Linked DNA regions of Kluyveromyces lactis. The protein of the gene in region 1 binds, or shares a complex with, the protein of each later gene. Links are inferred from orthologs where the notes say so. Each region holds a gene or a part of one and is shown on either strand. Other genes may lie near its edges. The genes, in order: RPA34, RPA14 and RPC19.

Evidence for each region.
Region 2: RPA34 (region 1) and RPA14 share a complex: the UniProt entries of both Saccharomyces cerevisiae proteins name them as parts of the RNA polymerase I (Pol I) complex. The link is inferred for Kluyveromyces lactis from reciprocal best matches to the Saccharomyces cerevisiae genes RPA34 and RPA14.
Region 3: RPA34 (region 1) and RPC19 share a complex: the UniProt entries of both Saccharomyces cerevisiae proteins name them as parts of the RNA polymerase I (Pol I) complex. The link is inferred for Kluyveromyces lactis from reciprocal best matches to the Saccharomyces cerevisiae genes RPA34 and RPC19.

What each region holds. Positions count from the first base shown.
Region 1 is NC_006037.1:552,748-555,266, forward strand, and holds RPA34 (DNA-directed RNA polymerase I subunit RPA34), read right to left. Parts: upstream 1,241-2,519; coding exon 656-1,240; downstream 1-655. Other genes in the region: transcription factor TFIIE subunit TFA2, read left to right, coding at 1-551. UniProt on the Saccharomyces cerevisiae protein: DNA-dependent RNA polymerases catalyze the transcription of DNA into RNA using the four ribonucleoside triphosphates as substrates. Component of RNA polymerase I (Pol I) which synthesizes ribosomal RNA precursors.
Region 2 is NC_006040.1:1,414,820-1,417,296, reverse strand, and holds RPA14 (DNA-directed RNA polymerase I subunit RPA14), read right to left. Parts: upstream 1,151-2,477; coding exon 671-1,150; downstream 1-670. Other genes in the region: HOM2 (aspartate-semialdehyde dehydrogenase), read right to left, coding at 1-202; peptidylprolyl isomerase CPR1, read left to right, coding at 1,624-2,112. UniProt on the Saccharomyces cerevisiae protein: DNA-dependent RNA polymerases catalyze the transcription of DNA into RNA using the four ribonucleoside triphosphates as substrates. Component of RNA polymerase I (Pol I) which synthesizes ribosomal RNA precursors.
Region 3 is NC_006042.1:2,218,046-2,220,406, reverse strand, and holds RPC19 (DNA-directed RNA polymerase core subunit RPC19), read left to right. Parts: upstream 1-1,468; coding exon 1,469-1,852; downstream 1,853-2,361. Other genes in the region: AZF1 (Azf1p), read right to left, coding at 1-487; DEAD-box ATP-dependent RNA helicase DBP2, read left to right, coding at 2,278-2,361. UniProt on the Saccharomyces cerevisiae protein: DNA-dependent RNA polymerases catalyze the transcription of DNA into RNA using the four ribonucleoside triphosphates as substrates.

The DNA.
Region 1 (2,519 bases):
TCGAATCATATCTTTCGTTACCTAAGGATAATAATGTGATTCCGATGTTAAAGGGGTTACAAAAATTCAAGTTTGACCCAAAGAGGAACACTTTACAGTACGTATCCATTTACGATGTGCATTCTGCGGAGGAATTGCTACAACTATTAAGATCACAGGCGACGTTCAAGGGTATATCATGTAAAGAGTTAAAAGATGGTTGGCCACAATGTTTTGATACAATCGACGAGTTAGAAGCAAAGAACAGAATCCTTGTTCTTCGGACAAAGAAGGATAATTCTCCAAGGTTTGTCTGGTATAACCATGCTGGTCCATCAAGGCAAATCGATGAAGAGTTCGTTACGATGTGGGAAGCTTGTAAGCTACCTCAGCGTAGTGAATTACCAAGAAAACTACAAGATTTGGGTCTCAAGCCTGCTAGTGTGGATCCTGCTACGATCAAGAATGAGCAAACCACAAGGAAAGAGGTCAAGAAACGTAGATCAAGAAAGGGTAAAGTTACCAATACACATATGGCTGGTATATTGAGAGATTATTCCGATAGGGTATGAAGATACCTACTTTTTATAATGAACGTATTCTACATATAACCCAAATTAAAATATGACCAGTGCGTTATATATAAATAATATACAGAAAGACCAGAACGAGTGCTCTAGTCGTGCTTTCTCTTTTTTTTGCTAACTTTCTTCAAATCTTTATCCTCGTAATACCCAGTTGCGAAATGTCTAGTCTTGAGACCCTTAACCTTCAACACATCCTTTCTATCCACTCTTACCTTAGAATAATCAATGCTTGGAATCTTTGCAGTTTCGCTTATGGTAAAGATCTTATCAAATGATCTTGATGCAGATGAATCGACGGTCAACTTTGTCTTATCTACAGGAGTCAATAATGTCAATTCAGAAGAAGAAGATGCACCAGAAGTGGAATTTTCTTGTTGGATTTCCTCCTTCACAGAGAAATGTTTACCTTTTTGTTCGATGCCAGTTTCCGACTCCGCTGTGAAATCAATAGGTAATTTCGAAAGCTTAGAGACATCTAAAGATTTAGGAAGTTTGATAAGCCAAAGTTCTTTTTGCTTCAAGTTCTTAGGCTTCACGAATGATTTCAAATGTGTACATTTCTTATAGTTTTCAGGTGGAACGAAAACGTCCGTTACAGTTTCTGATGATCCATCATTATCGCTGTCGCTATCACTGATGTATTCCTTTGAAAGAGTTTTGTCGACCTTGGCCATTGTTTGAGATATTTCTTATAACGTTTTGCGAGTGGAATAATATTACAGGGAAGGGTGTAACAAAAACTCACCTGAACTAGTTAAACTGTAATTGGAACCCTAGGACCACACAGAACCTCACTTATCTGCCTCTGTGTGTCTATTTGAATCTGCAATGAGATGAGATGAGCTTAAACCGAATTTTTTCATCTTGGGAAAGACTTTTCTTTCTTTTTAGACGTTACCCGGGAAAATGCACGTGGTTAACACGTGGAACAAACTATCGTATTCATGAAATCTGTTCCAGTTCATCACAAACCATCGAGAAATGGTATGTCCGACTTGAACAGCCTTCGAGCAACATTTATTGGATCACTAATACTATGATTCCCGTTGAATGGTATGACATCGATGCCCTAAGTACTTGGTTTACTGTATTATCATGTCGAACGACGCAATTATTCCAAAAATTTTTTCCATGCTTCTTCGACACGAAGAATATAAAAAGGCTGGTAATGAGAAACAAACTAGACATGTTAAACTCATCAAACCATTTATCCAGGTTAGGTATTGAAAAGTTCTGTAGGTTGTTCTCTAGCCTCACTTGCTGTTGGCAAGTGAGCTTTATAGTATCCTTGATGGAGCAGTGTTTCACAGCCGTGAAACACTGATTCGTCTATGTTACGCTTGGAAAAGAGACCTTTTCCATGAAGAAATAAACGTAAAAGTTTGCATATACGTGGGATTCATTATTACTTCATACCTTACGAAAGAACTTCAAAACATTTAACGATGATGAAAACGGTCTACACTTCTTTCCCAGTCCGATATCGACCATGACGATATGGGAGTCTACCATGTTGTTGTCTTACGGGGCAACGACTTTTTAAGCCAGTACATGCTTTGACATGTACAATTTAGATCATCTGAGTTTTCTCTTTTTAGTTTTCTTAAGGTCAAAGTAACAGTGAAACAAGATCCATCGTCGTATCTTCTGTTGCATTTATTTCTTCAAAACGTTTCACTTCTTCTTTTTAGCTAAGAACATGATTGTGCGTTATGGATTTTAACATTTTTTTATATGATGAAAATTGGTTCCTTTACATTCGCAGTTTCCACGGTAGGAGTACGCCTACGAACCCATCGTTAGTACTCTTCAGTGACCGCTCTTTATTGAGACCTTCCTAGGATGTCTGATCTTTTTATATGTTATTATCCATTTCCATTTTCAATCCTGTTATCATCGCAGAACCTGTAGAACTGTCAATCTTTCTTGCTTTGTCTTATGTATCTAAAAGGC
Region 2 (2,477 bases), on another chromosome or scaffold:
CAGAAACAATGATGGACTTAGCAAATTCTGGTAACAAATCGGTTTGTTTCCAGTTCACAGCATCGACATACTTCTTACCTGCAGATCTGGAAGAAGCACCCAAAACCTTCAATTCAAAATCTGGATGGTCAGCTAACAACAAGATAAATCTTTGCCCAACGGAACCAGTAGCTCCTAAGACACCAGCGACTTTCTTACCCATAGTTATAGTATATTATAAGTAGTGATTCTTTCTTAATCTTCCTAAGCAAGATTCAGATCCTCTTTATCGCTTTAGAATAAATACGATCAAGAAAATGAGATAAGTATATTAGAAGCAAAGTAGAGCAACGATGAATGCTACAAGTGTGTACAAATATATACCTGGTAGTAAGGAATCGGATGTTAATGTTGATATTCTTTTCAACTGATGTCATATCACTTTGACGAAAAATTCCAACTGACTCACACTCTCTCTGTGTGAAAGAAACCGCAGGTGAGCCCATTGGAAAAGAAAAAGTTGTGTATTTGAAGTCACGTGGTATGTTGCAATTAGGGTGAGCTCCAAGCTTATGCATTGATTATAACGGTCACTGTATGTAACTTAGCGTATGTATGTATATATATATATATATATATATATATAATGAATGAATACCCTCCCGATTCGTGGGTAGTGCAAATCAGCCGTCTATTCAGAGTCTGATGACGATTCCGAGGATGAGGATGTTTGTTTGCTGTCACTGGAGGTTTGTGAAGATTCCGGCACATCAGCAAACTTGATCTTTTTCCCTCCAGTAGCAGATTTAGCCACCGTATCTTCTTCTGTATTACCAGTAGAACTTGTGCTGGAGGGTTCCATCTCCATTACTTGAGGTGGTAGACCTTTGAAATCTCTTTCGACTCTTTTCAGCTGCGCAAGAGCACTGGAAAGCTGTGTATCTAGAGCCATTTCATCGGCACTAATGCCACCAGAAGTTACTGCTCCCTGGGTTGTAGAAGCTCCGCTTGACGCTAGTGTCACGCCTGGTACTGATTCCTTTTCGGCAATGAAACTTGCTAGGAATTGTAGTACTTCGTCTTTAGATAGGTATGTTGGCGTGCCCACCGTATGTACCACAACGGGCGTGTTCAAAGTGGAGTTTGCTGGTCTTCTAGTTCCCCTTAGCATGGTATACGTGGTTGTTCGTTGGAGTGCGATGAATCAAATCAGCATCTATATATTTACCCAACCTTTGGCTATCTCATCTCATCTCATCTCATCTCATCGCATTATTTCGATTCAGGTTTTGTCTCTCGAAGAATTTTTCAGCTGAGGCACGGGTAACTCAGGCATGTTTCTCCGTGCCTTGCGATGTTAACAAAATATGCAAGTCACGTGTGTCACGTGACTTGCGGCGACAATGCGGTTGATGTGTAAGATAATGGGGTTTCCGTTTTCGTTACCCGGCCGCATGTCATCACCTAATACCATTTTGCGAAGCCAACGCCACCCTTTGTTAGCAACTACCAACCACTTTCTCAATTGAACTCTGATTCAACTTCAATCCAATTCCAATTCAAGTCCAGTTCTTGCTCTTCTGTTCTGGTTTGCAAAATCTTGGTTACAACACACCAAGTATCAACTACTAAACTAAACTAAGAATGTCTAAGGTATTTTTCGACGTGGAAGCTGACGGTCAACCATTGGGTAGAATTGTTTTCCAATTGTACAACGATGTTGTTCCAAAGACTACTGAAAACTTCAGAGCTCTAGCTACTGGTGAAAAGGGTTTCGGTTACGCCGGCTCTGTTTTCCACCGTGTTATCCCAGACTTCATGTTGCAAGGTGGTGACTTCACTCACGGTACTGGTGTCGGTGGTAAGTCTATCTACGGTGCTAAGTTCCCAGACGAAAACTTCGTCAAGAAGCACGAAAAGCCAGGTTTGTTGTCCATGGCCAATGCTGGTCCAAACACCAACGGCTCTCAATTCTTCATCACCACTGTTCCATGCCCATGGTTGGATGGTAAGCACGTCGTGTTCGGTGAAGTCGCTGATGGTTTCGATGTCGTCAAGAAGGTCGAATCCCTGGGTTCCGGTTCCGGTGCTACCAAGGCCAGAATTGTTATCGCTAAGTCTGGTGAATTGTAAGGAAATAAGCTAGGGAATTGACTCTTTTTTTCATTTTAATCCTTTTTTCTTCCCTTTATCACACTTCAATCGCTCGGGATATCTATATATATACTTATGTCTATAACAACCCATTGACTAATTGAGTGTATTTGATCTCACTCAATTGGTAATGGAAGACACTCAAATACATATATACAACACCCTTTTATATCAATGGAAGTTTATGACTAGATCATCATCTCTCCTCTTTGGCCATTAACAAATGTAGCTACCCAATGAAAATGGTTACCCGGGCCTGTTCCCTTTTCTCACCTGAAATTTCCCAATTTAGCTGCCCTCTGCAATCAGCGCAACCTTTACAAGACTTTTCAACATAAAATAAT
Region 3 (2,361 bases), on another chromosome or scaffold:
TTTGCTGCTGTAAACCCTTTGAAGGTTGCGAGAAACTTGATGTATTAAACTTGGGCATGAAGGGTTCCAATTGCTCAGATTGTCTTCTTGTGGTAGTGAAGGCGACATCGTTCTGCGGATGAGGGGCAGGCGCGTTCCAAAGGTTATTAACAATGGAGAACCCTCTAGTATAGGGTAACTCTTGCCCCGTGTTGCTAGGCACTTGTCCCATCTGTGAAGTAGACCCTCTGTTATCCGGCTGATTATCAATGTTCAAAAACGAAGAAATCGAACTATCCGTAGACAACCTTGGCTGATTGAAATTCGTATACATTGAAAGAGAATCCTGTCTTTGACCACTACCCGGTGGCTGGTTCAAAGAAGTCAAAGTATTTGGATGGTTCACGGGTTGGCCCTGAGGAGGAGGCATCTTATCCTTGCTTTGAGCACTATCTTGCTCTTGACGCTGACCACCAGCACCATTGTTTTGAGTTTCTGTGCTGCCCATCGTGTAACGCGTGTTGCTTTAAAAGGAAAATCTCACGGGAAACCTATTACTAAAACGGAGATGCAACACTCAGATCTCCTATCACCAAATCTCAAGGGTAAATTGTGAAATATTAAACGTTAATGGTCAATAATACCAGTACCAATACCGAAATTCAATATCGTTATTTTGATTGCCCCAATAACAACAAACTGATATCAAAAGTAACAACTATTTTTTGGGCTTTGGTCCAAAATGATAATGTAACGATGAGAAAACCAAGATTGAAAAAAAAAGAAAAAACTTTTTTTTATACCTTCCTTCTTATAGGTATTTTTTTTGAAAAATGCAATGATGAATGAAGGGAGAAGGAAAACTGATTGATCCTGTCGTGTCTGTACGGTGTTTTGTAAGGGGTTTTCCGTGGAATGATGATATTAGTTCAACAGATTGGAAACAGCACTATACGTGATGATGGAAACTTTAGCTGATAACTGGTTAGGTATACGGACTGTCCTTGTTTTATGATTTGTGAATGATATTTGATACTTGACCCGGATTGTTATGCTAATTCTGTAACGGCCTCCCCTGATGATTTTTGCCAAGGGACTTTGGGTATGTCTCGCTTTGGTCGCATTTTCTCATTTCTTTTAGTTTACTTTGCTTTTTGTTCGGGATCCGTTGTTTATATACTATGGTGTGGTACCCTGAGCGTGGCTATGAGCAACACCTGTGCATTGCGCGGTAACTGATGAAGTGTGTGACACGTGATCTGGTATTTCGCATCAACTTGCTTCTTTCAGTTACCCGGTCAAGACCGGGTAAGCTTTTTGTTTTTTCCTTTAGCATGATTTGGTTTTCCCTCTTCTCTCTATCGAAAAAACCATAATCAATATTGACAAATTGTTCAGCTTAACAGAGTAGGTCATCTCGTCTTATTGACTGTTTGAAAGAAGTACGCACAAACCACCTAAGTGACCATTCATAAGCGCTCTCGGAAATATGGCTGAAGTGGAAAAGCAAGATGTTGATATGCTAGCAGCTGAACAAAATGATCAAGTTGATCAAGTGGAGGAAGAAGTGGACAGTGAAAAGATCAAACTTCTCACAGAAGCTACTTCCGAAGATGGTACTAGTGCTTCTTTCAGAATAACAGATGAAGATCATACCCTTGGTAACACGCTTCGTTATATGATCATGAAAAACCCGGAGGTAGAATTCTGTGGTTACTCTATTCCTCATCCTTCAGAAAACTTTTTGCACATTAGAATTCAAACATACGGCAAAATTACTGCTGTAGAGGCTTTGCACAAGGGTCTTGGAGATCTAATGGACATGTGTGATGCTGTAGAGGACAGATTCACGCAAAGAATCAGGGAAATGTAGAAATTGGTTATCTCCAGCTCCCGCATTAACTATATATAAGAGAATAGAATTAAATACACAACTACATCATCCTTGTATAATACACTATAATATCTATTGATTCTACGTTTATAGCTACTGGTAATCTAGCACATTGGAAGCACCGTTGGATATACCATTGGCAAAAGTAGCTGGAGTGGCTAATGTAATCACGTGACCATTTTGGTAAATTGGTACATTGGTACAAATTTCTTTTTCTCTCTTTTTTGTTTCTTTTTGAAAAATTTGCAAGTTCCCTCATCGCCCTTTGAAACTAATATATAAGCTGCAAACATTATTCAAACCTGTCTCTGATCCTCGTTCATTCAGTATTACAAGTGTGCATTTTTTTTTATCGTTTGGTTCTCAACATCAAGCAACTTATTTCACACATTATACAGAGAACAATGAGTTTCGGCGGTGGAAGAGATCATCAATTTAACAGAAACAACATGGGCAGCACTCATGGTGACTTCCGTGGTAGCAGAGGT